4 linked regions of the Rhinolophus ferrumequinum genome follow. The protein of the gene in region 1 purifies or fractionates together with the protein of each later gene. This does not show direct contact. Links are inferred from orthologs where the notes say so. Each region holds a gene or a part of one and is shown in the gene's direction. Other genes may lie near its edges.

Region 1 (7,797 bases):
CAGCCCCAATATTTCCTATGGTTTCACTTTTTCTTTCTCCACCAGCTATTCTCCCTCAATATATGAAAAGTTCCCTCCTCCTATTAAAAAACAAAACAAAACAAAACAATGAAGTGAAACTCTGAACCTGTCTTGATAACGGTAACCACAATCCTATCTATCTGTCTCCTCCCTTTCTTATCTAAGCTTTTATTTTTTTTTGCATTTAAATTTTATTTACATTTCATGGATCAAAAAGGTATACAGTACAAATTCTCTCTCCTACCCCTAATTTGCAAGCAATGGTTCCCTTTCTTGAGCAGTTTCTTGTGCTCTTTTTAGAGGTAAGTATATGCATATACACGCAAATATGTATTTTTTTCTTTTGTATAAAAATGTTAGCATATTATAGACATTCTTCTCATTCTTGCTTTTTCTCACTTGAAAATATATCTTGGAGGTCTTTTCAGTACAATTTCCTCATTGTTTGGGTCTTCTGAAAAGCAGATGCTAAGATGGAATTAGACAGGAAAGAGACTTACTGGAGGAGATGCCTGTGAGGGAGAAAAAGAAGGGAAAAAAAGGAGGTAGCTGGTGGAGCTGTCAGATTATGGTACTGATCTGACTGACCCCTGTGAAGGAGAGAAGGAAGAAAGAAAGTTGGATAGGCAGTGACTCAGCCTGCAACATGATTCTAAGAAAGACTCAGATGGGTTTAAGCCTGAGGAGTCCTTAAAGCAAAGTCATTCCCATCAGAGTACTCCCACTCACATCTGGCAGGAATGGACCTGCCTTAGGATCCTGCTATGCTCAGTCATAGGCTGGGAGTAGCCATGGGGAGTGTGGGAGATTCAGAGCTTAGCGGCTGGGGCCTCCCTGCAGGGAGGAGAGCTGAAAGGCATATTTTATAGCCTTCACTTTATTTTTAGGGATGCATAATGATCCATTGATGGATGTCCCATAATTTATTTATCCAGTCCCCCTTCAATGAACATTTCTGTTGTTTCCAGTCCTTTCCTATCATAAACAATCCTCAGTGAGTAACCTTGAATTATATCATCTTGCACATGTGGGGAATACCACAGATTGGGCTCCTGGGGAAGCAGATCCTGAGATGGAGATTGACATGTAATCAGTGTATTAGAGAGTGTTAATAAACTGCACAATACCTTTGGAAGGGAAAGGAAGGAAGCAGGATCGGGGAGATTGAGAAGTTGGTCTGCAATGTATTCTCAGAGATGACCTCAGTCAACCCCGCAGGGAGTTCTGAAGATGGGATGATCCATCAGATTTGTCCTGAAGTACAGTGAGCAGTCTGGGCCTTTATATCTCTGCATTGATCAGCCATTGGATAGCGGCTGCTCTAGGAAAATGGCACGATCTAGGTGAGGTGGTGGCTCTTCAGCCAAGGCAATTCCTGAAAAGGACTGATAACTGACGGCTATGTGTAGCAGCACTCCCAGCAGCTTGGGAGGCAGTTGGAGGGTGGGGATGGGGGGGGATACATCCCTTAATCCTGAAGGGGGATCTGGAAGGCACATCACAACATCTACCACAGGAGTATAACCATAGGATACTACTATGTAATTTTGATGGACGTTGCCAAGATCAAAATCTAATGTATGAGGTCTGACAATTAAGTTCGCGAATTCATTCTAAAAAAAGTGCTACATACCTCATCGCTGAATCACTACGGTCACCTTCGAAGTACTCCCCTTGGGAAGCTATGCACTGACCCCAGTACCTAGTCCACCCTTCAAAGCAATTTTGGAACTCTTTTTCTGGAATGGCCATCAGAGCTGTCGTCGTATTACCCTTGGTGTCCTGAATGTCACCAAAATGTCTTCCTTTCAATATTTCCTTTATCTTCAGGTAAAGAAAGAAATCATTGGGGGCCAGAGCAGGTGAGTAGGGAGGGTGTTCCGATACAGTTATTTGTTTACTGGCTAAAAACTCCCTCACAGACACTGCCGTATAAGCTGGTCATTGGTGTGATGCAAGAGTCATGAATTGTTGGCGAAAAGTTCAGGTTGTTTTTGTCTAACTTTTTCACGCAGCCTTTTCAGCATTTCCAAATAGTAGACTTGGTTAACTGTCCAGTTGGTACAAATTCATAATGAATAATCCCTGTTATGTCAAAAAAGGTTAGCAACATCATTGCAACAAGTTTGCAAACTTAATTGTCAGACCTTGTATAATTTGGTATATATTTTGCGAATACTTCCACAGGCAATGTAGGAGAGTGTCTGTTTCCCCATTTCCTTGATAATACAGGATGTGGTCACATTTTTTGATTTCTTTAGTTAAGATTTTCATAGCCTATATTTGTTTTTTTACTAACACATTTGTTAATTTCCATTTAATCCCAAGTACATATTCATTAAGACCTGGCTTTGCAATTTACTAGCTGTCTCAGTTTGTTCATATGTAAAACAGGAATAATAATACATCAGATCTCCTAGGGATATTTTGAGGATATAATGAATGTAAAAACTCCTATTTAAAAATAGCAACCAACCAAAAAATATTCTCCACACCCCACCATTATACACTGATGATTTCCAAATCTATAAAACTTCTTATTAACACGTAAAAATGTTCATTTCCTTGTTACTTCTATCTTGATGCCCCACAGGTACTTCAAATTCAACACGTTCAAGCCAAACTCATCATCTCTCTCTTAAAAACTGCTTCTATTCCTTTATTTTTCTATCTTACGTTAAAGTAAAAAACCTCGAAGTCATTTTAGATTATTTTCTCTCCTTTAACCCTACATTTAATTAATCACCAGGTCCTGTTGAATTTGATTCATAAATAATTCTGGTATCTGCCCTTTTTTCATAATCAGCACTGCCACTCTACGGTTCAGATCTTTGTATTTTACAAGTATTAATTAATGCAAGTTTTTTTTTTTTTTACTGTACTTACCTGCCTCCATTCTATCCCAAACACTATTGTCTGAAGGATTTTTTTTTTAAAATACACAAAACTGATTGCATTACTCCTTAGCTCAAAAGTCCTTAATGACTTCCTACTGCCTACAGTATGATGAAATCTAAAACTTCTGCTTGATATACGTAGCTCTTCAAAATTTGCGCTCTGGATACCTGTCCAGTCTCTTCTTAGCCATCGTTTCCCCCTGCCTTAATCTGTAATATTCAAGTTAGTTGCGTTTCTCAGAATATATCATGTTCTCTCATGGTATATGTATGTGCTGGTTCTGCCTGAAATAATTCCCTGCTCCCCACTTCTCCACTTGTCCTCCAAACAAGGTTCTTTAAATTTTGGCTCAAACCTACCTCCTTTGTGAAGCCTAACCTCAGTCCTCTCGTAGTCCTCCTATTCTTCCATTTCTCATTGAATCTATAGTTTATTTTTGTTCACATGTTTATTTCCCCAATAGGTTTTATTTCCCTGATGGAAAAAGACCAATTTTCATCTTGTATTTCCTGCACTTACCATAGTTCCTGGAAATAAGAGAATCGCATATACTTCGTAATTAACTTCAAGATCTGAGGAGGTTTCCCAGGAAACTTACTGTTTTAGTAAATAAACGATCCTCCCACCTCTTCCCTCTAGTTTCCCAGGTTTTCTCAAACCTTGCAGACAAGTCACTACTCACTTTCCTTAAAACTTCAGGTAGAATTGACCATTTCCTCCTTGTGTTCCCACTGAACGTAGTATATAAATCCTATCGTAGCACCAATCATGTTTAAGATTGTATCCCAAGCATCTGACACTTTATGTCTGCAATAATGAATCAATGTTCACCATGATTAAGGGGACTTTTTTAAACATTCTAGGAGAACATCACCATTTTGTATACACCGTAAAAAACTTTTACAGTCCAACCCAAATGATTGTTTTTAAAACACTGCATCCTTCTAGCCCTTTAATTGTCCTTAGACGGGCAAAGCTTGGCTAAGGGGAATCGCATATACTAGGCGGAGACCATGACTAGAGGGCCAAGAAAAGGATGATTGGCTGTTAGGGACCAGAAGTTGTACGTCCTCAGACCGATGCTAGAACTAGGAAACCGCTGAATGTTCAGCTTTTGAAATACGGTTTTTGCATCGTCAAATAAAAAGATTAACCTATCAGAAGGAACCGAGCACACTCAATTACCAATCAAGAACGGGAAAGAAGCCAAAGCCTGGGGATACCCACGCACCAACGAGGACGTCATTCTCTAGTCTCCGCCAATGAACGGTTGGACGAGGGGCGGGGCAAGATGAGGACCAATTGCCACAAAAAAACAATCTGCAGTACAACTCCTAACAACAGTCCTCACCTCGCAAACCACTGGAGCAGACTCTTGAGCAAGGCGCTTGTTAAATACGTTCCACTTTTCTCCCCCGGGGACAGTTATAGTGAAGTACTTTCCTCACACCAGAACAAGGGCCTTTTTTCCACTAGCTCCCTCAAACTCGCAGAAACCACACTGCAACTTCGCACTTTCTACCTTCACAGGAACTGGCAGTCCAGCTCTACCTGAGGGGGGGAGGTGCTCAGTGCGCAGGCGTGCATGCTTTGTGGGGGCGAGGCTATAGCGACCCAAGGCAACCTGGGAGCTGTATTTCTTTCGCAGATGTAACTCAACTGCTCCTCGTGCCTTCGGAACTACAGGTCCCAGGAGCCTCCGCGACCTCGGGGCGGGAGGGTTGGTTCGTTAATGAGCTCGAGGAAGCCGCGGTGCGGCCCACCAGGTTCCAAAACAAGGAAATGAAGGGGGGAGGCGGGACTGGGGGTGTCTGCGGGAGCCGCCGCCGCCGCCGCCGCGGAGGAGGAGGAGGTGGTGGAGGAGGTGGCTACTGCGGCCGCCGAGGAGTCCCTTGCTGAACGCGGACCACGGGGCGGCGGGCGGCGCGCGTGCGCGCGCGCCCGAGAGGCGGCTGTTGGAGAAGTGGAGCGGCGGTCGCGGGGGGAGGAGGAGGAGGGACTGAGCGGCAGCGGCCCCCGCGTCCCGGTGCCTCTATGGGGGAAGCAGACAATGGATTATGATTTCAAGGCGAAGCTGGCGGCGGAACGGGAGCGGGTGGAGGATTTGTTTGAGTACGAAGGGTGCAAAGTGGGACGCGGCACCTACGGGCACGTCTACAAGGCGAGGCGGAAAGATGGGTAAGAGCAGGGGCGGGGGAGTCGGCTCGCTACGGTCCTCGCCCTGCCCGCCACCGCGCGGGATGGGTGGGTCGGAGCCCGGCCGGGCCGTGCCCGAGGGGCGAGGCGAAGGTGGCTGCGGGGCCGCGTCCCGGGTCGGACTCTGAGGGACGCGGGTTCTGCCCGTCCCCTGCGTGGCCCCGTCGCGCCCCTCGAACTCCCGCGGCGCACCTTAGTCGGGGGGCGTCGGTCCCCTCGCGGAGGGCGCTCTCCGAGTGCCTGGAGCAGGCGGCCGGACTCGAGTTGGGACCCGGCTTGGAGGTGGAGTTTGTGGGGTCTGGTTCCTGGGGAGACGCGGAGGGGGAGAGCTCCGCCGAGGAGTTGCCGCTCCGGCCGTGGGCTGGTGACGGTCGTTGTGGAACTTCCAATGGGCTGAGCGCCTCCCGGGGGCGGCGGTTTGAAACCTCGCGGAGGAGTCCGTCGGGCGGCGGAGCGCGGGGTCTCAACCAGTCTCACGGGTCTGACCCACTGGGCACCTCCGAGCCTTTGGGGACAACCAGCCCGTTGGCCCTTCAGCACAGTCCCTCCGGTTCCTGTCGTGTACTCGCCTACTTTGCGACCCCTCTTCGCCCGCCCATGATTTCGCTTTCTCACATTGTGAATTCCTCACCTCCCTTCGAATGTAGCACCTCCTGAGGGACTAACCGCGTTTTGCCCGTAGAACTTCAAAGTTCGTCTCGTTGGTAACTAATTTCCCCCAACCTTATGCCCTCCGCGCCATCCTCTGCTATATGATTGCGTGTTGGGGTTTATCGAGCACCTACCGCAGATGATCCAAAACGGAACGCGGAGTGCTAGCAGAGCTGGGCCCGAACCTTTGTTTTCCTGGGAGTTGAGGGAAAACCATAGAAACCCCTTAGGAAGCCCTTACTGATAGTTCTCCTAGGAGAAGGTGAGCTGGGTCGTGTAATAAGAACACCTCTCCGTCGTCCCGGAGGGCAGACGGGCTCGCACCGCAGGACAGGTGGAACCAGCTCCCTGCCTGCGAAGGGTAGGTTTAAACCAGTCTTCACCTCATTGCATATCCTGGCAGGAATTCCCCCTCCCCCAGAGTGAGGGCACATCTGCCTGTCCCGCTTAGACTTTAAAGACGGTCAGACTATATGGGAGGGAGTTTTTAGGATCTTAGCGGAACATTTCTGAATAAACAGTATCAGCTACAGTGATACTAGTGAGTTTGAAGTGATGCTTATCGTTCTGCGCACCCTGTTGTAATTGATATGGTTGATTTATGAACTAGGACTAAAGTAAGTAGGGGTGTGTGCTAATTTCATACAGGTAATGTAAAAGCACAACTTTGTCAATTGTTTTATCATAAAACGTGAAAATTACAAGGCACTATGCAAGTGTAAAGGATTGTTAATTATTGCAAATAATTTTTTCTTTCGTTCTAACTGAAGGGGCCCCATAGTATTCAGTTGTTTGTAATCTTGTCTCATAATTCTTTTAGCTAATTGCCAGGTGTCCTCGAATGAACATCTTGGAATGTGAGGTCTTATAACTTGTATTTTGTTTTTTGGAATATGCACTGTACTTGTTACACTGGTGTTCCTGTGGGAGTCTTAATCAGATAAATTTGGGGAAAGCACATCTAGTGTTCCTAACTGGACGTTAGCATTACAAAACAAATCAGATGTGCTGTTTTTTCATACTCCTCATGCTAACTTGGTAATACACTTGATCTGGAATTTTTAAAATATATTTTGATTTTTAAAAATTAAAATAGCTTCCTTTTAGCAGGCAACTTTTGAGAAAAGTTGAAAATTCTGCTTCTGAAATGTATTTGAATAGCATGGGCTACAACAAGAAATGATAATTTAAGCCCTACTTCTATTTGTTTAAAATATTTTCCCTTCTAATAAAGTTCTTGATTCGAATACACTTCCTTCTTGAGTGAAATTTGTTTGACTAGAATTAATAAAGCTCCTTTAGTAAAGATCAGTTTGTGTATCTTCAAAATATTATACTTTAAAAAAACTTTTAGGATCTGAAAGCATTAGTTTAAATCACTATATTACATGTAAGAAAAATCATCGTAAAGGTTTTTTTCTTGGGCCAAAGGTCTAGTTGAGGTTTGAGGCTTTATAGTAAACACATCTCTTGTGGGTTGGTAGCAGGATTAGTTTGATGTTCATTGATACCAGTGCTTTGAAAAGAACAAAAAGTGTTTAGTGGTGATTCTAAACTGTCATATGGATTTGCATAGTAAAGGATTTTACACTCTGATCATGGGAAATTACAGTTTAGCTCTTTCCAGAATTTATTTTGGTTAACTCAGAAAAATGTATAACACTATTTTAAGAAGCAAGAAAAATCACATGGGTACCTTAAAGGGAAATTATTCTAGTGTTTATAGTGTAGTATATCTATAAAAATTGTTCAGGTCTTTAGAAGAAACACTGAAAGAAGTAATGTAACCTATCACATCATTAGAAAAGCCTCTGCTTATAGTTTAATATTACAGTTTACAAAACCTTAGAATGTTATTTTCTTTGAAGTATGTAACTTAGGCTATATTATGCTACATAAATTTAGAACAGACTGGAAAATGCAAGATTTACATATGGGTTTTTCACGTTTGATGTTATTTATTCCGTCTTTTTGTTTTGAAGGAAGAGGATCTTTTGACCCAACTATCCTTTCAGTTTTTAAAAAAATCAG
Region 2 (7,399 bases), on another chromosome or scaffold:
AATGACAATATTTTGGCTGTATTAGGTTAAACAAATGTGTTATTCAAATTCATTTCACCTATTTCTCTTTACTTTTTTAATGTGGCTACTAGAAGATGTAAAAGTACACATTTGACAATTCTCTGGTGAGTGCTGCTTTAGGGAGTCTTAATGTGTGTATCCTTTATGTCTCTGTAAGTGGCCTAAAGACTGTATTAAAGACTCCATTTGGTTGAAAGTTCCAAAATTTATCCTTCTTTCCTCCTTTCTCTATCCTGACCTGCCTTTCAAGTCATTTTTATTTTTCCTTTCCTTTAAGAGGCTAAAAGAAGGAGGAAATTTTTCTTTTTTTGATTCAGAAGTAAGCACGAGATAAATACATTTAAATGTAATGGGGATATAAGAAAAACTGAGAGTAAGCAAGACTGTCTGTAGGCAATCTGTTAACCAAACACAGTAATATATACACCTGGACAAGCATCAGTCCCACGGGGAAACCCAGCAACTTTAATTACTTCACCTACAGGCACTACACTGTGAATTGTTTATTTCCAGTTGAGTAGAAGTGTAGTCCATGCCAGAGCGAGCTGTTGGGAGTTTTGCTTCTCTTATACCAGACCTATCTCCTGAGGCTCACTTTTATATGTGTTATATAAATGATAATTAATTCATATAGCACACTGACAGTAATAAGTGTCGGTTGGAGAGCCAGAGAGATCTAGGTTTAATCCTGGCTTTTCTACTTGCTAACTCAATTGTTTTGTGCCAGTTACTGTACCTGCTAATGTGTAAAATAGGATAATAAGATCACTCTTCTTCTGATGGGTCAACACCCTGCCTCTGCTCCTAGTCATTCCACTCTCATTTTTTGAAATCTGCTCTGCAAGTATGATTGTGTCACTGCCTTTTGTCAAAGAAATTGTATTCCTTACCTCAAGCCTTGTGAAAAGAGCTTTGAGAAGACCACTGGCCTGGGCACCTGCCGTTTGTGCACTGACCCAGACTGGAGAACATTCAAGGTGAAAAACTGTGGCTTGAGAGTGCATCCATGGTGGGCAAGGAGAGTAGGCTGGTGAGAAAATCCCTGCACTAGAGTTTGTGCAAAGGACGTCTGTGTGTTTCCTGCAGACCAAACACAGGGAGAAAAAAGCCAGCAGCCATGAGCCATCTTAAAGGGACTTTGCCCTAGAGCACAAAAGGGTCCCGACTATGAGGGAACTCCTTGCAGAATTCTGAAAACCAGGGCTTATAGAGGGAGCATGATCTGCTTGGGAGGTTTCTGATGCTGAGAGGTCTTTGAGGCGCCCGTGGATATGACCCAAGGAAATGGGTTTGCTTTTAAACACTTGTCAACTCACAAAAGCACTCCTAGAGAGTTAGCTTCATACTTGGAGGATAAAGTCCCACACGCTTAAAATGGTTTATAATTTCTCCTCCAGCCACATTTCAACTGCTTTCCCCAAGATGTGTCTGGGGAACCTGTGGTTTTCTCTGAGTAATCCTGTTCCACGCAAACTGTTCCCAGGCCCGGGTGGTGGCGGTGGTGTCATTAGCCAGGAAAAGATAAAATGCCCCTTATAGGAACAGTAACAAATGAGACTCATGTTATTCAAAAAGAATGCGTGTCTATCAGCCGAGTTAATCAGTACTGTGATGGGGAAAAAAGCATAGCACAGAACACAGTGGTTTCCATGGTAAGCCCACCATGTTAACTGGCTTTAGTCAGCTTCAAAAGGGACTCTGGACTGGAAGAAAGAGCGAGGGTAAGGTGGGGATAGGGAAAGACTATTCTGTGCGGGACATTTGAATGCATGCCAATAAATGATGAGATGTTAAGAGATGAGACGGAAAATTAAATGCTAAGGGCACTGAAAGAAATGAAGAATCATCTTGTACCTCAAGAGTTTGGGGTGGGCTTCATAATAGTCCAGGACTCTAAGGACTATTCCCAGATGGCTATCAGAAAATGAAGGACCTGGGAATTCCATATTTGGAAGTAGGAATGAGAGCTAATTGAAGCTGGAGATTGAGAAAAAGTTGGATTGGTAGATGGAGGTGAATTGTGCAGAGGGCAAATGCCGGGACGAGGGAGCCAAACACCCACGGGAAGTCCATGTCATGAAAGAATGATTTTTGAGAAATTAAATTATTTTTGAACATATTAAAGCTTTCACTTTTCAAAAAAATTTTCATGTTGAGAGGGCCAGGGCCGGCCCGGTGGCTCAGGTGGTTGGAGCTCCATGCTCCTAACGCCGAAGGCTGCCGGTTCGATCCCTACATGGGCCAGTGCAAGATGGCTCAGTTGGTTAGAATGTGGGCTCTCAACCTCAAGGTTGCCGGTTCGACTCCCGCCCCCTGCAACTAACAGCAGCAACTGGACCTGGAGCTGAGCTGTGCCCTCCACAACTAAGATCGAAAGGACAACAACTTGATTTGGAAAAACTTCTGGAAGTACACACTGTTCCCCAATTAATGTTGAGAGGGCCAAATAATCCATGCCAGACTGTGTCAAAACAAGGGAGGGAGTTAGAAAGGGAGACCAATACGGGGAGAGCTAACATTTTCCCTTTTTCACAAATCCTAGAGACACAGCACTAACACATTTTGGTTTTAAAATAAAATCTTTATGGTTAGATAAGATTTTCAGTGCTTCAGAAGTTTTTCTTTCGTGGAGGCTCTTGCCTAGGTATACACATGAAGAATTTAGGTTACATCTCCCATCAGACTAGGGTATCAGCAAAAACGTATCCCAAAGTAGCACTAGTGATCTATCCATCCACATACCTACCCACCTATCTTCCCACCAGCCAACAAACATGTTTTTGAGTACCTACGTGTGCCAGATTCCATGCTGTGTGCTCAGGTTGAATAACACTGTCCTCTCACCGGCTTGTCAATGTGTTGGGGGTGGGGGAGATGAAACCAGAATGGCAAAACTGATAACTGACACAACTGGGAGATGAGTACTTGGGAGTTCATTATAGCATTTCTTCTGCTTTTTTGGTAGGTTTGATAATTTTCCTAATAAAGCTAGATAATGACTTTATTTTTCAAGCAAAGTAGTTAGATTTGATAGATGCCTATATCACAAGGGCAAATTCAGCTTGGAAGTTACATCCAGGATATTGGTGGTCCTTGGGGCAGGGTGCAGAAGGTGGACAGGAAATATCTCCTGATGGAGGGTAACTGTTCTCCAAAAGTACTTGCTCAGATTGAGTCAAGAAGCCAAAAACCACCGGCCTGACTTGGTCTCAGCCTGCATTGGGAAGTGCTAATAGGTGAGGGTCCGGAGTGAGAAACTAGCCTCTATTGCCATCGCCTTATCTATCCTTTTTTACCTCCCTTTTGCTTACAGTCAGCAGAGGTAAGTAGATATTCAGATTTGGTCCACATCTCCTGAGCACCTACTGTGTGCCAGGTGCTGTACCAAGGCTTTGGGTTAGATTCTGCTCGCACCATCTTATAGAGAGAGGATGGAACCAAGAGTCTGAGAAATTCCTCAAGGTGTGGGAGACGTGACACAATTAGGCAAGGGCAGTTCAGGAACCCAGTCCTTCCAATCCAAAGTCGTGGAGAATAGGGCAGAAACTTCGGATCCGGCAGGGGCAGCTTCCGGGCTTTGAGCAAGTCACTGGGCCTCCTTGAGCGGACTTAATGTCTGTCTACAAAAAGGGTACAGTAAAACCTTGTAAGGTTTCTTTTAAGGATCACAGACCTTTACTGTCAAGACCCTGGCACCAAGCGAGGGCTCCATAAATGGCAGCCATCATTCTTGGCCAAGTGCGGGCGCATCCTCCCGGGCGCGCCTCCCGCGGGGTCCCTCGGGACAAGCCGGGCCCGCCCCCGCAGCTCTGGTCTCCTAGTGCTCGCGGCAGGTGGCCCAGCATCTCGGTGCCCACACCCCGGAGCGAGAATGGAGCGCGGGCGGGTTGGAGGACTAAGGTTTTCCCTGGAGGATCACCTCCCTGCCTCCCTCCCTCCGTCCGTCCACACGCCCGGCGCAGGTGAGATTTCCGGCCCAGGCTACAAGAACAGCGACCTTAGGAGAGGTCGAGGCGGACGACGCTGCCCGCGACCGGGAGAGGGGCCCTGGGGGTGCCCCCTCCCTCGCCAGGATTCGCCCCAGGGCAGGTCCCGGCGCCGGGGCCCCCGGGCTGCGCGCTCTGCGGCTGCGAAAACCTGGAGAGGCGGATCGGAGCGCGCTCGCAGCCAACTCCTCCGCGGTCCGGCCGCCGAGCTGGGCATGCTCAGTGCGGTCGCCGCGCCGCGTCCGCCAACTCGGAGGCTCGCGCTCCCGGGCGGTGGGGGCGAGAACGCCGGCGGCGGCGGCGGCGAGCCGGCGTCGCCCGCCGCCCCCAGACAGTGGCAAACTTCGCGGCGTCCGCAGAGCTCTCCCGGAGGAGACTGATGCCTTATTAATAAAATCAAATCCGATCCCCCCCACCCCAACCCGAATCATGGAGGCTGCGGCCGCCAGAGTGCCGCTGCCGCGGGCCCCTGCCCACTAGCCGGGGACCAACAGGTAAACTGTTGGGGGGTGGGGTGGGAGGAGGAGCTGCGGCTGGGGGGGAGGAGCCTGAGATGCCGGCGGGCGGGCTGCCGGGGTCGGCGCTCACAGCCTACCCTCCTCACCCTCTTTCCCCAGCCCCTGGAGGGGCAGCAAAGGGTTAAGTCGGCCCCGCGCCACCGTGAGCACGGCCCCCTCCAGCCGCCGAGACCGCCAGCTGCGCGCCTCGGCGCCTGCCCGGAGCCGCCGATGCGCCACCGGAGCCCAGCGGGCGTCTAGGAGGCACCCGCGGCTTCCCCACCGTCCGCATCTCTGCCTCCCCCATCCCCTCCAGGCCTCTCCGCCGGAGTCGAGTCCGCGCCCAGGTGGCTGGGTCTGCGGGGCGCGTGGCGGCGTGGAAGGATCCCTGACGAGGAAGAGGGGCGGAGGCGGGCCGCTCCGCAGTCTCTTCCTGGGGCCGGAGGGCCACCCTAGCCTGGGGCGAGCACTTGGGCCACCCGCCTGGGCGCCAAGAAAAGTTTTTTTCTCCCCCGGTGCCCCTCCCCCACCCCCGCCCTGTGCCGGGCTGGGTGGGTTTGGGTCCATTGGTGAAAAAAGTCACACGTTTCCATCAGCTGCTCCTCCCCCTGGGGACAGAGTAGGGGGGGCGGGAGGCCGGCGCTGCGGAGGACCCGAGCGGACCTTCAGCTTCTGTCGGCCGCCGCCACAGGAGCGGTGCGTCCCGGAGCCCCAGCGCAGCAGGGTGCCCGCCGAAGGCTGCCCCCATCAGTGCGTGTCTGCGTGTCTGGCAGCGGCAGCATCCAACCTGCTTTATTCTTGCCTGCAGCGCCACAGCGAGCGAGCGAGCGAGGAGGGGGAGAGACGGAGTCTGTCTGCAAAGTGCTGCTCCCTGGTGCTCAGAGGCGGCTGCTCCAGCTCCAACTCTCATTCATTTCGCCGGTTAACATGAGAGATCATGGCCGCCTTCGGGCTTCTCAGCTATGAGCAGAGACCACTGAAACGTCCCCGGCTTGGGCCGCCGGACGTCTACCCGCAGGACCCTAAGCAGAAGGAGGTAGGTAAGGGCGCTGCCGGCCTCCCCGGCAACCGGGACCGCGCTCCGCAGAGCTGACCCCGGGCCAAGTTGGCCCAGCGGGCAACGGCGGCGCTGCGGGGGAAGGGTCAGGGAGGGGACTGGCGGCAGGGGCCGGGTTGGGGACTGGGGGACCCTGGGCGGCGGAGACCCAGCGGCTGTCAGTCCCCGCGCTCCACTGAGACGCTTGCTCTTCGGGTGCAGGGTCGCTTCTCCGTTACCGGGCCTTGCACAGCATTGCCGGGCGCTCATCTGGTTCTTCTTTGCCGAAACCCTCCTGCTCGCTCTCCCCCGCTTCTGCCTGCTTTATTTTTCTCCCTGCCGCTTTGCTAAATCCTCGTAAACTTTTTGAAAAATGTTGGAATGCAGTGCATCCGACACGGGTCTCGTGTTTTTGCTCCAGCTAAGCAGGGACTGGGTGTTAGTGCGGGGGGTGGGGGGGGCGTGAGGGGGTGGGGACCTTTTCTGTTCAAAATTTGCAGTTTGGAGCGAAGTCGTTTTTATCGAAGTGATAAATATTTAGCTCTTTGGACGTACTTTCTGTATCCCCTCTCCCCTTTAAAAATCGATATTACGGGAAAAAAGTGATTTCGTTCCTGGAGGCGATTGGCTTAATTTGCCGGAGGCAGTTTTGTATACGTAAAAGCAATCCTGTTACCTTGGAAGGGAATAGGTACCGAGATTGCTTCTTTCTTTGAGTGCAACTGTTGGAGAAACCTTGACTCTTGGACTAGGTTCACTAGCTTCAATGGCTAGAGTAACCATGGCATTTTGTAGACATGTATGTGTTTGTCCGTAGTTAACAAGTAATTATATAACAAATCTCCAGTTATAGTGATCACCCTTGGCGACACAATTTGCCAAGGGATTTGCTTTTTTTTTTTTTTTTTTTAAAGCTCACCTGCTACCCTGCTGTGCTTTTCTGAGTTTGCCAGTTGCAGCCCACCCATCCTCTCTCTGTTTTCTTCAGCTAAACACGAGGGAGAACGTTTCAGAACTTCTCTTCCTGGGAATCTAAAAACCCTCTATTAAAAGTTTACCGGCCCACTGACATCACAGAAAGGGCTTTGTAAAGAAGGCAAGGAGAGGTCCTTAAGACTTCCCTTTTGATAAATGTATCTATTTCAGTAATAGAGAAAGAACGTTCTGGTTAAACTGTTTTGTTAACGTTTCTGCAAAAGGACTGACAGCTCCTTTTAGAGGGTTAGCACATTAAACATCTTTGAGCATCCTTTGAGTAGTTCATACTGAAGCTGGGAAGGTTTTTACAGGTGGTTCTCAGCTGAGGCTGAACATGAACATAAGAGTTTTGACGAGACTTTGCAGATTTTTTTTCCCCACCCATTTTTCTCCCTGCTACTCTGACCCAGAATAAAGTTAATTGTTAAGGACGGGAAGTAACAGATGCTAAGGACCAAGTGTAAAGAAAGTTAATAACTTAAAAATCAGTGGCAGGAAATTCTTCAAGTTTTGGTTGGGACAGGGACATTGATTGGCTGCCCTTTATCACCTGGTAATTAATGTCTCACTGCATCTTCCAGAGGGCAGTATAATTGCCGGCATCTTCCCACTTAAGGGATGGTACGCCGCGGATGCCCTGTGCGCGCATGTAGCATTTACTCCTCAGGTCGACACTCGTTCAGGTTGGGGCCTCTATGATTCTGGAAAAAAATAATTTGGGATTTTAGGATCTTACAACATTTTATGGAATTCTAGCACTGGAAGTAACCTTAGAGTCTAGTTTTTAAAATAACTTCCTGTTGATAAAGTGAAACTGAGGCCCTAGAAAGCTACTTAATCAAGGTGCGTGGTGAATAAGCCCGGGAGTTGGACCACCAAAC
Region 3 (7,361 bases), on another chromosome or scaffold:
TCCATCAACTCCCTTTGCTTTCTCTGTTGAGTAAGAACTCCGCGGATCTTTATCAGTCATCTCAACTGTTCAGAGAGTCAAAGAGTTTTGTTGCTAGAAATGACTGAAGGATTGCCCGGCTGCCCTTTTCACACATGAGGAAACTGAGGCCCAGAGAGGTTGAGTGGCTTGTCTAAGACGACAGGGCTGCTCAGTGGCGTGTCTGAGGCTAGAACCTCTGCTCCCTGCGTTCTCATTCTGTACTCACCTGGCAAGGACAATCACATGCTGTGCTCTGGCCTTTTCCACTCAGGGGCCTCGGCTTTGACAGTCAAAGAGATCGCCTCAGAGGAGGGTTTTTGTTTTTGTTTTTTGTTTGTCTTGTTTACTTGCTGATAAATGTACTTTTATGGTGCCATTTGATTATTCAGTTTTCATTTTTATTGATTGATTGATTGGTGGTGTTCATAACTTATTGCATTGAATAGATAATATACACAGTTTGGTAAAAAGAAAGGGGAAGGAAGGAAGGAAAGAAGGAAAGAAAGAAGAGGGAAGGATGGATAGAGGAGGGGGGGAGAGAGAGACAGAGAAGAGACAGAAAGGAAAAACAGCAAGTGAAAAGAAATTCCTCTCCTCATGCTGACTCCCGTCCCTAAAGGCAACTGATGTTACTACAATCTCCCAGGGATATCTCAATTAATAATCTATTTTTGAGATTATCCTATATTAGTACACATAGTGCTAACTCATTATTTTTAATGGTTACGTGGCATTAAATTATATTGTTAACCACTCCCTAAATGATGAACATGTAGGTTGCTGCCAGTTTTTGCTCTACAAACAGTACTACAGTTCATGTCCTTGCACACAGGTCTTTATATATCTACTCAAGTATCTCTGGAGGATAAACTCCTAGAAGTAGAATTGTTGGGTCACAGGATATGTGCATTATACATTTTGAAATTCTCCAAATTGACACCCAAAGCTGTGGTGCTAATTTGTATTTCTACTGGCAGTGCATAAGAGTTCTGCTCCTTCCACATTTGCCTAAGCTTTTAAAATATTGTCAGCACGTATTACGGTTTTAGTTTCTGTTTTTCTTATGATGAGTGTCTTAATGTTCGTGGGCTGCTGTAACAAATCACCATAGATTGGGTGGCTTAAACAACAGAAATTTATTTCTCACAGTTCTATAGGTTGGGAAGTCCAAGATCAAGGTGCTGGCCAATTTTATTCCTGGAAAGAGCCCTCTTCTTGGTCATGTCTTCACGGGTAAGGAAAGCAATCTCTCTCTTGTCTGTTCTTATAAGGGCACTAATCTCATCATGAGGGCTCCACCCTCATGACCTGGTTATCTGCCAAAGGACCCATCTCCAAATACCATCACTCTGGATATTAGGGTTTCAATATGAATTTTAGGGGGACACAAACATTCAGTCCATAGCACTGAGCGAGGCTGAGCATCTTTTAACATGTTTAAAAGCCATATGTCTTTCCTATTCTCTAAGTTGTTGATGTCCTTTGCTCATTTTTCTTCTAGGTTGCTCTGGGAGACCTTAAAAAGTTGAATCTAAACTTGCTGAACAAAGAGAATTTGGTGACCAAGTGTGTAGGATGAAGGCCTCCTGGGATGTAAATACACCTAGATATGACGGACCATCATACCGTCTCCTTGCTCAGTCCTAAGTAACACTGTGCATATTGATAAAGTGCTTTGGCTTTTTTTTCTAAACACTGTCACCACCAATCTCTTAATAGAAATGCACAACATTGACCTGAGGTCAGTGAGTCAGCAATTAGGATCTCTTTTTGACAGGTTAGGAAAGGAGGCTTAGAGAATTAAACGCAGTCCCCCCTTATCCACGAGGGATACATTCCAGGAACCCCACTGAATGGATGCCTGAAACCTCGGTTAATACCAAACTGTATATATACTCTATTTTTCTTACCTATGATATTTTAATTTATAAATTAGGCATAGTAAGAGATTAACAACACCTAATAATAAAATAGAACAACTATAACAATATATTACAATTAAAATGACTGTGATCTCTCTCTGATAACCGATCTGATAACCAAGTCGGCAGGTAGCATGTACAACATAGACATGGTAGACAAATAGGTGATTCATATCCCAGGCAGGACGGGGCAGAAAGGTGAGAGATTTCATCACACTACTTGGGTCTGTATGCAATTTAACGTAGGAATTATTTATTTCTGGAATTTTCCATTTAATATTTTTGGATCATTGTTGACCGTGGGTAACTAACTGAAACCGCAGATAAGGGGGACTACTGTATGTAGGTCAAGGTAACACAACCAGGGGTGCCCAAGCCAACTACAGGCACCTGCTCCTGGAGCCTTCTGGATTCAGGTCTGGGCTCTGGAGCTAGATAGACCCAGGTTTGAGTTACTCAGTAACTGGACAGCTTGGAGATGTCACTGCATGTCTGAGACTTATTTTAGGCTAAGGATAATAACAGTATCTTCTTTATGTGGTTGTTCTGAGGGTCATGTGCAATAATGTATGTATATTCGTTATAACATAGTGTCAGCCATGATAATACATTATAACATGCTGCTCATGCGTTTTCCTGTAGTAGTTATTTGTGGTAGTTCCAAAGCTCAATTCATGTGTGTAAGACTTCTTTTATTACACTCCATGTTCCTACTCTCTTTTAGTCCAATGCACCTAAAACAGCTGGCTTTTCCATGTTTTGGGGCTTGTTAGTGAAGTTGTTCTCTCCTCCCCACCTTTGCAGTGAGTAACCGGGAGACCCTTCTCATTCCCGCACTCCTCTGGACTCCCAGGCCATATGCGATCAGGAAATGTACATTATTGAATGAACGGAGCCAAGAGGGAGGGTCTGCTCCCAATACAGCCCTAGTACAGTGCCTGGCAGTTATATTCTGGAACAGAACAAGAGCTCAGGAAAGATTTATGCAATGAATGAATGAATGCACACAATGCCTAGCAGTAAGGGCTCAAAGGCATGTCTGTATTCCGTGCATATTGCCTCCTACACAGTAAGCGCTAAGTGGTAGCCATGTATATCCCTGGGCGAGGCTTATAAAACCTAGTGTAAGAGCTCAGCTTCACTGTGCATGGGTGCAGGGGTTCGAATTCCGCCTCCTCTTCCCCGCTATGCGACCTCGGCAAGTGACTTAATCTCTTTGACTTAATCTCTTTGTGCTTCAGTTTTCTCATCTGCAAAACGCGGACAACGGAGTGCGACCTCCACGAGACACTCCCCGTAGCATTTGAACCTCCTGCCTGGCTCACAGCGAGCCCCCGCCACGCCAGCCGGCCTGCGTCGATCGGGGGCACAGGCGAGGGAACTGGAGCTTTCCGTTGCGGCCGCCACCAGCGTTCCCAGGGCTCGCGGTCGCGCCCCGCAAAGATCTGTGCCCCCGAGGGGGCGGGGCGCGGCGCCCACGCGAAGCAGCCCACCGCAGCCTCGGCCCCGCCAGCCGCCGCCCGCCCGGGAGCCGCGCCACCCGCACTTCTTTCTCTCCTTCTCCGTCTTCCTCGGTCTCCCGGCCGGAGAACCCGGCCACGATTAGCTCAGCAGCGCCGCCCGCGAGCCGCCGGCGTGCCGCCGCCGCTCCGGCCCCTCCCCCGCCAGCCCCCGGCCCCCCCGCGCGGCCGGCGCCCGTCACGTGACTCGGCGCTAGCCAATGGCGGGCCGAGCCGCGGTCGGCGGCCGCCATTGCTGTCAGAGCGAGCGAGCCCGGGGAGGGAGGAGAAGCGAGGCTGACTGGGGAGGAGGGGGGGGTGGGGGAGGAAGAGGAAGGAGGGGACGTCGCTCGGCTGCCGGGGTCGCCCGCTGGCTTCGTCCGCACCCCCCCCTTCGCGAGTTCGCGCTCCGCGGCGGCGGCGGCTCCGAGGCGGCGGCGGCGGCTCCGGGGCTCGCCTCCCCTCACGCGCCGGCGGGGGCCGAGGGGGAGTCGGTGGCTGGAGATAAACAAGGCGGCGGCGGCGGCGGCTGAGGAACAGGGAAGGCGGAGGCGGCGGCCGGCCCGCAGCGCCAGCCCGGGAGGCAGCAGCGGCCCTGAGAAGCGGGGAGGGCGCCGGGCCGCGCGGACAGCGCCCCCCGCCGCCGCCGGAGCCGCGGGAGCCGCCGCCGCCGCCGCCCGAGCAGGAAGGAGCCGCGCGGCCGCCGCGGACCCCCCCGCCGGCCCGGGCCCGCCGCCCCCGGCGCGGCGTCGCCGCGGCGCCTGCCGCCAGCCCGCCGGCCCTCGCGCCCTCCCCCGGCGGCGGCGGCGGCCCGGCCGCCCCGCGCTCCCCAGCGAGGCGCCGCCGCCCGGCCCGGCCTCGCCTCGGACGCCTCGCTCCGACATGCCCCGCTCTGGCGGCCGGGCTCGCGGAGGATCATGACTGCGGCAGCGAACTGGGTGGCGAACGGGGCGAGCCTGGAGGATTGTCACTCCAACCTCTTCTCGCTGGTGAGTAGCCGGGCTGCGGGGAGGGGGGCCGTATTGGGGGGGGGGTCCACGACCTCCGCCGCCGACCAACTTTCTCCTCCCGCCGCCGGGACTTCGCCCCTCCCTCGCTTCTCCCCGCTGTTCGCCTCTTGCCGATTCTCCCCCTTTTGGATCGTCTCTCCCTCGCCTTGGATCCCATCCAGTGTTTATTTGGCTCTTTAAAAATCATTTGTGAGCGCGGCGCTCGGCGTGGAATTTGCATGTGGAAGTCTCAAAGCTGCTGATTCTGGGTCGCACTTCGAACGCCCACCCTCTGTTGCAATCACACCCCCCTTCCCCACCCCTTTCCCCCCTTTTTCCCCCTAAATGTGAAAGGCTTTGCCTTGTGCTGCCCGCGCCTGCGAAGCAGCCTTCTCCCCCCCCTTGTCGGATCGGCTGCTCGCCCGCCCGCCTTTTGAATTTTTTAAAAAAATTCCATAATGACACCTGCAATTTCGCCCCAAAACAGTTGATTGAATGCGATTGTGTCAGTAAAGGACTCTTGCACACGAAGCTCCCGCGATTGTAAACATCGACAGCCGCCTGCCTCTCGGGGCTTACTACGCTGGAGAGCCCTAAAGCCATTGCACCGAGCCGACGGAAGGTGGAGAAAGCTTTTTCTTTTTTCTCTCCTCCTGTGTCTTTTAAAAACTGTTTTCTCTATCCTGACAACGAATCCACACACACACAAAAAAGCAACAAGCTGGGCGGTTTGATAACATCGCTTTTATCTGCTTTCGCCTCTCTCGCGCGCTCTCTGATAATTGACAACTTTTCCTTCGGATTTGAATCGCCTGCCTTAATCTTGAAGCAGTTAGGGTGTCAATTGTTCTCCGGGAAGCCTGGCACCCGACGAAGGCGTCTAGATTCATCGAAATTAAAAATGTATAGGGCTCCAGCAACTCTTCCTTGGCGGTGGCAGTGACATTTGGTGGTAAATGCCATCTTTGCTTTTTATTGGGTCGTATTACCTAGCTCTGAAAACATTCACGTTGTTAAACCTGGCGTTTAGGCTAATAATGGCAGTGCGTGGTCTTTAAATATGTGCTTTGTGCATGAGTTACTGTATGTATAGCTATGTGCCCGGGAGACTACGAATTTGTTTAAATATTGAGCAAAGATTTGTAAACAGATGTAAGGCAATTATGTTTGAAGCGTAGAATATAATTGGAAAATTGGCTAAACGGTTTGTTTAATTTAGCCTTAAAAAAAAAACCCCAACTTATTTTAAGTTGCGTACCCTTTTTGGGGGGACTGCCTTTTGGACAGGATGCATTTTTGGAAATTGTTCTCTGTAACCTCTGCTGTAGATAGAAACATTATTTTCTCTTAATCCTTGTTTACACTGGATAAATAATTTAGTGTTGAAATTGTAATTACTTACACTTAATTATGAGTACCATAGATGCTTTTTTCTTTGAGACTAGTGGGTAAATACAAATTCTTGCCAACTTTTCAAATGTGTTATTTTATTAAATGTGTTTCATTATGCAGATAAAAAAATCAAAACGTGATTTTTATCTACAAGACTGGCATAGTATCCTTGCTTTCACTATAGTAAGATCAGGTCAACTTTTTTTTTCCCCCAGCATTTTTATTCAGATATTTAATCTTAAAATTCAATTATAAGTTGTGATTCTTCCTCTCAGTGCTGATGATTTTCACTTGATCTTTTGATATATGGGAATAAAACTCATTTTTCCTCTTCTTTCCTCCCTCTCAGTCTATCATTTAGTGTCAGTCAGGTTCAGGGACTTTCATAGATTAGCAAATATATTGATTAAGGGGTATTTAAAATGGTTTTTGTTTGGCGGCTGGTGACCACATTGACACTTTAACAGGTAATTAAAATAACCAAGTAGACCAATGTTAGTGAGAAGGGATCCTCCAAATTACCATATATCATGCTGACTGGTAATGTCTTCTATGTATGTGGCTGATTTATATACAGTAGATTTTGTAGACAAATGAAAGTGTATAATGTGTATAGCCAGTCTGTAGGATATATTTCTTTTTTTTTTTTTTAAGCTTAAGTAAGGATAATAATGTTAAAGAGATAAGATGATTGAGGTTCTTTTGGAGAAATAAACAATTTTATATGAGAGGATGCTGTGCTTTATGGCCTAATAAAGGTTTGTGCTTTGGATATTTCTGTCCTAAACCTCTTTAAACCAGGAATTGATTTTTGAATATACTTTTTTTTTTTTTAAACAGAATTACTCTTTAGTTTGCAATTTGGAAATTCAGAACTGCAGAAATGCATGAGTTGAAATTTTTTAAAGGACTGAAATGTCTACATTCACTTGTATGTGGCGGGTGGATAAGGTGCTAATTTTCTTAAAAAATTGTGACTCAGTTAAAAAGCTGCTGATTATTGTAAACGTTTCTCATTCCAAATTGAGAATTTTTCTTGAAAATCACACACAGCAACAACCTAGACTATTAAAAATATGTTGCCTAAAGTACATTGTATGGAATAATTAATTCCAAACGTGATAAAATCATCACCTGTTCAAAATAAAGCATGTATTGTAAGAACTCTATATACTTAATAATAGCGTATATTTTTCTTTTTGGTCTGCAGTTTTTTGAGCAGAGAAAAGTATTGTTTATAGAGAATTTACCCAGATACTCACATTTACATGGATTGAAATATAAACAGGACATTAAAGTCTGTACCACAGTAATGACCCACCAACTTTGTATTACCTTGAGGTGTTCATTATGGTTTAGCAAAAGTTGATTGTGCAATCAATCAGGTGCCTTAAGATTTTTGTTAGTCCTTTACTTATTTTGCTTTCTGATTTTCTACTGCATCAGTTTCTGTGGCATTAAATTTCCTAAATTCTCTGTCAAATCCTGCCCCCCTTTCCTAACATGAAAATGCCATTGTGTATACATGATATGGGTCA
Region 4 (7,054 bases), on another chromosome or scaffold:
CCCCTGCCTGTTTCTGCCCCCTCATCTCTCACTCTCCCTTTGCTCATTAGTTACAGAGCACACAGTCTCCCTTCCTGTCTCTCTAACTCCGGAAGATCATGGCAGCCTCTGGCTTTTTGCTTGAGTCTCTTTGCTGTCTCCCTTGTCACTCTTTCCTTAGCTCCAAAGTCACCTTATGGGAGAGGCTACCCTGATCACGTGCTATAAAGTAGCTATGCTCATCCGATGTAACTATCACTTTGTTTTGTACCCCCCCCACCCCCGTAACCCTTATAACTATGAAATTCTTATTTGTCTGCATGTTATCTGTGTTTCTGCATTAGAATGCAAGGCTTTTGTCTGTCTTTTTTATCTTCTAGAACAGTTTCTGGCACAGTAGACACACAATAAAAATTTGTTTGTTGAATGAATGTATGCCTTGTTAAGCTATACAAGACACCTTTAAGGAATAAACTTTCCATCGAGATTCTGGACATATAACCACATAAATAAAGGTTATTACATGTCATATTTTCACCAGCCCTTCTCATTACGAATTTCATACCATCATTCATTTGTAGTTTATTATAAAGAACACTGGACTGAGAGTCAAGAGTCCTAGACTCTAGCATTGATCCTGCCACTAACTACCTGTAAGACACTGTACCTCTGGGTCCAATAATTCCATTTCTAGAAATTTATCTTGAGGGAAAAAAAAATGGACATGTGCACAAACATGTATGCACCAAGATGCTCACCCAGTGTATTAATAATCGTAAAAATTGGGATGGAGATTAACTTCACAAAATGGGGATTTGACTAAATAGACTGTGATTTGTCCATCAATGTCACTGTGAACTTATTTAAAAATGATTATATGCATTTTGTTACTTATTCAATAAATGTTCATTGACCACTTGCCAATTTCAGGCACTGTTCTAGGCGCTGAGCGTGTAGCAGTGAATGAAGCAAAGTCCCTATGCTCATGAACACAGTATTTTGATAGGGAAGAAAGACTATAAACAAACAAACAAATTACATAATATGATATCAGATGATGAGAGTTCTATAAAGGAAGGATAATGTATATGCGGGGACAGAGCCCCAGAGAGCAGTTTCCAGGCTCTCGGCCTCACGTGTTGGGGTGCTGGCTCAGGTAGTAGATGGCCGTCAGCTGTGGCTAGTTGGCCGTCAGCTGTAACCAGTGAGCCATTGGCCACTAATATAATTGCCATGGCTTTGCTAGCAGAAAAATTGGGGCCTAGCAAGAAGATGGTGGCTGAGCTAGCAAGAGTGGATTGCAGAGAGGCGGATGCTGCCAGCGAGAATATAGTGGTATGACTCCCCTATTTATGGCTCCGTGAGTGTTCCTTTTTGGCCTCACCATATCCTGCGTTCTTGTGTGGGGAGCGGGAGCTGAGACCCCGCAGGCCGCCCTACACGACAGTATAGTAAGGGAATTGGGGCATCTCTCAAGAGAATGCTTGGGAATGTGTTATTTTATATCGGATGACAAGGGAAGACCTCTCTGAGAAGGTCACATTTGTCCAGAGACCTGAATGAAGTAAAGAAGGAAGGAAGGCATGTGAATCTCTGTAGAAGGAGGGTTCCAGAAAAATGCAATGGCCCTGAGGCAGGAATATGCTTGGCAATTTTGAGGGAACAGAATAAAACTTATAGCTGGAGAAAAGTGAGCAAGAGAAAAAATGGTAGGAGATATGATTGGAGAAGTCGGCAGGGACTAGATTCTGTAGGGCCTTACATAGGCTATATTGAGAACATTAGATTTTATTGTAAATATGATAGAAAACCATGAAGAATTTTGAACAGAGGACTGGTCAGATCTATCTTATATTTTAAGACAGTGTGGTAAGTAGGCTAAGGGAGGACAAAAGTGGAAGCAAGGAAGCCATTTAGGAAGCTATTGCAGAAGTCTAAGGGACATAATGGTGGCATGGACTAGGAATATAGCAGTGGAGATGGTGAAAATGAGTTATACTGTATTGGGGACTTTTACTTGTTTCTAAATAGAACTAATACAAAAGGCTGTTATGGTAGTTTTGAAAGAGTATGGGAGAAAGAGTAAAAGATGAATCTTTAGATTTGAGCTTTTGCAATTGAGTGAAGTGAAATTGAGTAAATATGTGGAATACTGTTGGATAAGGGGATCTGACTGCAAAGGAGAGGGTGTTGCCAGAGCCTGCATATCACCTGGATGTTATCACCTGGATGATATCCCACTAAAAAGTAAAAATTGAGTCCTGGGTCAATTCAAATGATCAAATATGCCCAATGTTGCTGAGAGTGGAGTAAAATGAGAACTAAGAATGACCATTGGAGGTCACAGGTGTGGGTCACATTGATCTTTGGTGGGGAGAGATGCCTGATTAGGGTATGCTCAAAAGTGAATGGATTTCTTCAACAAATAAATTGATATGGGAGGAAAATTGAGGTGAGGGCAGGAAACTATAGATTAAAACATAATTAAAAGACATATTAGCCAGTCACAAAAGGGGAGGGTTTTATTGGATCCTGAGGCAATTGGTGTCCAAATGTTGACTTGATTTTGATGCTATTCAGCAACTATTTATTTTAAAGTGAGTTCTGTGTTATATGAAAAAAATGAGAGTCCTTATCTTTCAGTGATGCTTGTGGAAATAAAATAATATCTATAAGTAGATAAGTGTTGAAGTTGGGTGATGAGTACACCGTTCTCTCTACTTTTTTGTGTGAACCCTGAGAAAGAAAATATCTTCCAAGGACTCATCATGGTTAACTGGGTACAAATTCATAACCAGAGTCTAGCAGCCATTGCCTACAGAAGCCCCTCAGGTACTCTACATCTCAGGGGAAAAACACAGTGTCTTGTACTGTGTTCCTGCCTGTGAGTCAAGCCTTATAAAGGAGTTCCTGGTATAGTCTTTCCACCAATGGGCTGAAACCTGCCCTGTCCAATGGGAATTGCACAGCTATAGTTTCATTTGCAACTTTACTGACCAATCAGAGCAAGTCCATAACAACCAATAGGAACGTGTAATTCCGACCAATCAGGACAGTGCTATTTAGACCAATCAAACTCTATAAATTTTGATCCCTCATTTGCATAGAAATGGACCAATCAGGGACTAGAGCAGGAACTTTATAATATAAAGTGGCTTCTCCTCTGTGTTTGTTTCCGGGTGGGGTGCAATTTAGGTTTCCTATGTGTTTCCCACTTTTGCAAACTGTTTACCTGAGCAGTTTCTCCTCTTACTGCACCCTAGACTGAGGACTCCTGTTGGCATTAAATTGGTGGCAGTGACCTTTTGCTGACATTTGGAACTCTCCATAGAAGTTTTTAAGAAATAAAATCAAAGACTCTTATTTTAAAGAGGTAAAATTGAGAACTTCTACCAGAATAACAAACTTACTTTTTACGTGCAACATGCTCTTGTAAGATTCCCATGAATTTAGAAATTTGTGACACTTCTAATGAAAATAACCTCCAAAAGAAAACTTTAAGTCTGTTTTTTTTTTTTTAAACGTGCTAATTTGTTGCCCGGAAATAATATAGACATCTCTTAATCCCTAAACAAAAATAAAAGTGAACGGTGAAGAAAAGGAAATTGAAAATGTATTATTGATTCCCAATCACGGTCACAAATACTTCCAGATTCATATATATATATATATATAATATATGGAACATATATAAAAATATATATATATACACACACACATATATATCACATAGAATCCAATCTCATCTTTTAAAATATTTTTGACAGTGGGGTTAATTAGAATCGACATAGTTTTTAAAAATATCTGCTCATCTGTATTTTCTAACTTTTATGTAAGACATATAGATGCCTCGTTTAATTTAAAAAAAAAAGAAAAGAAAAAAGAAAAGAGAAACGGAGCTACCAGCTGCGACGTTTACTGATAGAAGCCAGTACAGAGAGGACCTAGCCTACTTTAAACCCCGCCGGCGATCACGCCACCCAATGGAACTCAGCGGGAATGAGGCGCCAGGGTAGGCGCATGCGTAGTAGCGAGCCAGCGGTCTGAGGCGGGGCTAGAGCCTCGGTTAAAGGACAGCTCTTTCAGTCAATAAAGAAAGAGCGTCAGTGAGTTTTTCCTGGAAGACGACGCCGGAAGTAGAATTTCGGCGGCGGTGGCGAAGGACGCTACCGGAGTAAACAAACCCAGAGCTGAGGTGAGTGGGCGGCGACGGTTTGGGGCTCCGTTCCGCGCGTGTTTCTCTTTCCGGACCCCGAGACTTTGGGCGGATTGGGAATGGGGGGCTGGCGCGCAGTGAGCTCGCTCGCCTTCCTCTCCCGCGTCCCCTCTGAGAGCGCGGCCTCCCCGCCGCTCGTGGACAGCCCGGGCTCGGCGCTTCCTCCGTGTGGGAGGCCGCGCTGGACCGGAGCTTGGGAGACGTGGGTTCTAGTCCCGCGCCGCCGGTTTGCTAAGCGGTGTGGCCTTGGCGAGTTATTCGGTCTCTCCGGCCTTTGTAAGAGGAGGATGCCATTCCTCTCTTTCCTCTTCAGGGAACACCCCAAGGCTAATCGTCAAAAGGATCCTCTGAGAGGTTTTAAAAATTACTTTGTTAGCAGCCCCATTCACTGTAGACAAAGTGAAGCAGATGACATGACGGGGCGGGGGGGGCCCTGGAATGCCTTTCTTTTTTTGTTAAGCCCCCCAGAAAGGAGCAAACTGGAGGGTGGCTCTTGAGTCTGATCACCGGCTAGGATACCTGGTATTATTTTTACCAAAGACCTCTATCGCTTTTGAGTAGTTCAGTCGAGAGAAGTAATGGAGAAATAAACAGAATTTCTGTAACATATCAAGTTCCTTTTGTACAGTTAGAAGCTTCACAGTTTACTGATTTCAAAGAACTTGTGCTGCGCAGCTAAAAGGACCAGAGGTAAGAATTCCCGCTGTGTACCATTTACTAACCTTGTGATCTGGTGCAAACATTTCCCCTCATGGAGACTTGGGATCCTTATCTCTAGTGAAAATAATAATAGTGCTTCACTCAGAATTGTTCTGAAGATTAAGTAAGAGAACATAAAACAATGGTACCTGTCATGTAGTCGGTCTTTGGAAAATGGCAACTTAAATACTAGAGGAAGGCACGTGGTGCTGGGAAGCACAAAACAGGACTCACAACCTAAAAAGGCTTGCGTGGGGTGAAACCTGGGCTGTCTAACATTTCCGTTGAAGTGCCAGGTCAATGCTAATTCTCTGATTTGGTAATTAAATTCCTTAAAAGAGAACATTATGGTTGGGGGATATTTGAGGGTAATAGGGCGAATAAGGAAAATGTTAACATTTGGAGAATCTGGGTGAAGAACACAGATGTTCTTTGTGCTATTCATACAGTGTTTCTGTAAGTCTGAATTTCTGTTAGAAAGTTTTAAAAAGTTGATTGTAACTGTTTGCAACTGTCATAAGTTTGTAAATAAATGAAACAGTACACAGTGTTTGTAAATAAAGCCCCACCCCATGCACTCACTTGCACTCCTTTTTCCTTAATGGCTGTATTGTATTATGTAGACATCTTTTATCCAGCCTTCATATAGATAAAACCATGGATTAATTCCAACTTTTCCTACTCTTTTCAAGCAGTGCTACGTTAAACATATTTATACAAATTTTTTTGTGTGTGTGCTTGTGCCAATACTTTTATAAGATAAATACCTAGAAATAGAATTGTTGGTTCAAAGAATATCATCATTAAAATTTTTGGTACTGCCAAATTAAATTCCAAATATGTATTTGTTTCCTTTTCTATCAATTGTGAATGAGAATTTCCTATATTCTCTCGGGTGGTACTGGCCTACCACCTACAAGTGTTACGTGGTAGTCCTTATGGTGGCTTCCATGAGAGCTAAGGTGAGTGGATGCTCTCCATCCCAGAAGGCTTCTCTGACAGGCCAGGATAGCTAAAAGCCTGCTAATAAAATTGGGGTAGCCACTCTGAAGAAACTGAGAGGTAGGAGAGTTTGTGACCTCTGTTAGAATCCAGGACCTGCCACATAGAAGGTGTTCTTATATTTGCTGAATGATGGAATATTTGAAATCTTGATAGTCTGTTAGATGAAAGCTATCCTTTTAAAAATTTGCTTTTAAAAGTACATTAGTCTTAAGTTTCCCACCTTTATTTAACATTTGCATTTTTCTTGTCCTTTTTGCCTATTTTCTTTTTTTAATGTAGACTTAAAACTCATTCAGTGGACCTTTATAAGTATCTAGCACCTTCTAGGCATTGTTTGAGGTGCTGGAGGTGAATTGTGAATGAGATAGGCAATTCCTGAAGTCATAGTACTTTCCTTCTAGTGGGGATGGAGTCAGAAAACATGTTTTTAAAAAAATCAAAATAAAATTTCTAATATTTGGTCTTTGTTAGTTTGCAAGCATTCTTCTCCCAGAAAGATGGGATTACCTTTTATTTTTGCTTATGAGATATTTTCCTATATGGAATTTTTAGATTGATTTATTTTTATTAAATTTATTGGGGTGTCGTTGGTAATTAATAACATTATATAAGTTTCAGATGTACATTTTCATAATACAACATCTGTATATTCTATTGTGTGCCCACCACCCAAAGTCTAATCTCCTTCCGTCACCATATATTTGACCCTTTATCCTCTTTATCCTCCCCCCAACCCTCTTTCCCTTTGATAACCACCATTCTTTTGTCTGTTAGATTTATTTTTGGTAGGTAGATCTATTGGCCTTAAAACGTATTTATTTTCTTGATAACTTGTAAGCAACACTGGGATGGAGGCAGTGTTTTTTGTTTATCCTTGAAAGGTAGTTAGTGTAGTGTTTGAGATCTTTAGGCTCTGGATCCTTCCTCTAGTATTTACACTATGACTTACCACAAGTGGTTCAACCTTTTTGAGCCACAGTTTTCTCATCTCTAAAATGGAAAGAGCGCCTTTCTTTTCTCAGATTTCTCACAACCATGAGAAAAGTATTTAGAGCAGTGTCTGTACATAGTATGTACTCAAATATTATCTGTCATCATAATCTATGTATAGTCATTGTCATACCAAACAATAAATTTATGAAGGAATGAGTACAC

What was found.
Region 2: the proteins of CDK19 (region 1) and MED12L purify together in Homo sapiens (affinity purification with mass spectrometry; 3 studies listed by BioGRID and IntAct, counting the BioPlex papers as one, with this or other methods). This does not show direct contact. The link is inferred for Rhinolophus ferrumequinum from reciprocal best matches to the Homo sapiens genes CDK19 and MED12L.
Region 3: the proteins of CDK19 (region 1) and MED13L purify together in Homo sapiens (affinity purification with mass spectrometry; 5 studies listed by BioGRID and IntAct, counting the BioPlex papers as one, with this or other methods). This does not show direct contact. The link is inferred for Rhinolophus ferrumequinum from reciprocal best matches to the Homo sapiens genes CDK19 and MED13L.
Region 4: the proteins of CDK19 (region 1) and MED7 purify together in Homo sapiens (affinity purification with mass spectrometry; 5 studies listed by BioGRID and IntAct, counting the BioPlex papers as one, with this or other methods). This does not show direct contact. The link is inferred for Rhinolophus ferrumequinum from reciprocal best matches to the Homo sapiens genes CDK19 and MED7.

The regions. Positions count from the first base shown.
Region 1 is NC_046286.1:63,019,968-63,027,764, reverse strand, and holds the start of CDK19 (cyclin-dependent kinase 19), read left to right. Parts: upstream 1-4,796; 5' UTR 4,797-4,969; coding exon 4,970-5,097; intron 5,098-7,797.
Region 2 is NC_046285.1:10,000,529-10,007,927, forward strand, and holds the start of MED12L (mediator of RNA polymerase II transcription subunit 12-like protein), read left to right. Parts: upstream 1-4,390; 5' UTR 4,391-4,851; intron 4,852-5,312; 5' UTR 5,313-5,441; coding exon 5,442-5,540; intron 5,541-7,399. UniProt on the Homo sapiens protein: May be a component of the Mediator complex, a coactivator involved in the regulated transcription of nearly all RNA polymerase II-dependent genes.
Region 3 is NC_046308.1:10,238,469-10,245,829, reverse strand, and holds the start of MED13L (mediator of RNA polymerase II transcription subunit 13-like), read left to right. Parts: upstream 1-4,359; coding exon 4,360-4,431; intron 4,432-7,361. UniProt on the Homo sapiens protein: Component of the Mediator complex, a coactivator involved in the regulated transcription of nearly all RNA polymerase II-dependent genes.
Region 4 is NC_046307.1:27,384,890-27,391,943, reverse strand, and holds the start of MED7 (mediator of RNA polymerase II transcription subunit 7), read left to right. Parts: upstream 1-4,039; 5' UTR 4,040-4,174; intron 4,175-4,823; 5' UTR 4,824-4,885; intron 4,886-7,054. UniProt on the Homo sapiens protein: Component of the Mediator complex, a coactivator involved in the regulated transcription of nearly all RNA polymerase II-dependent genes.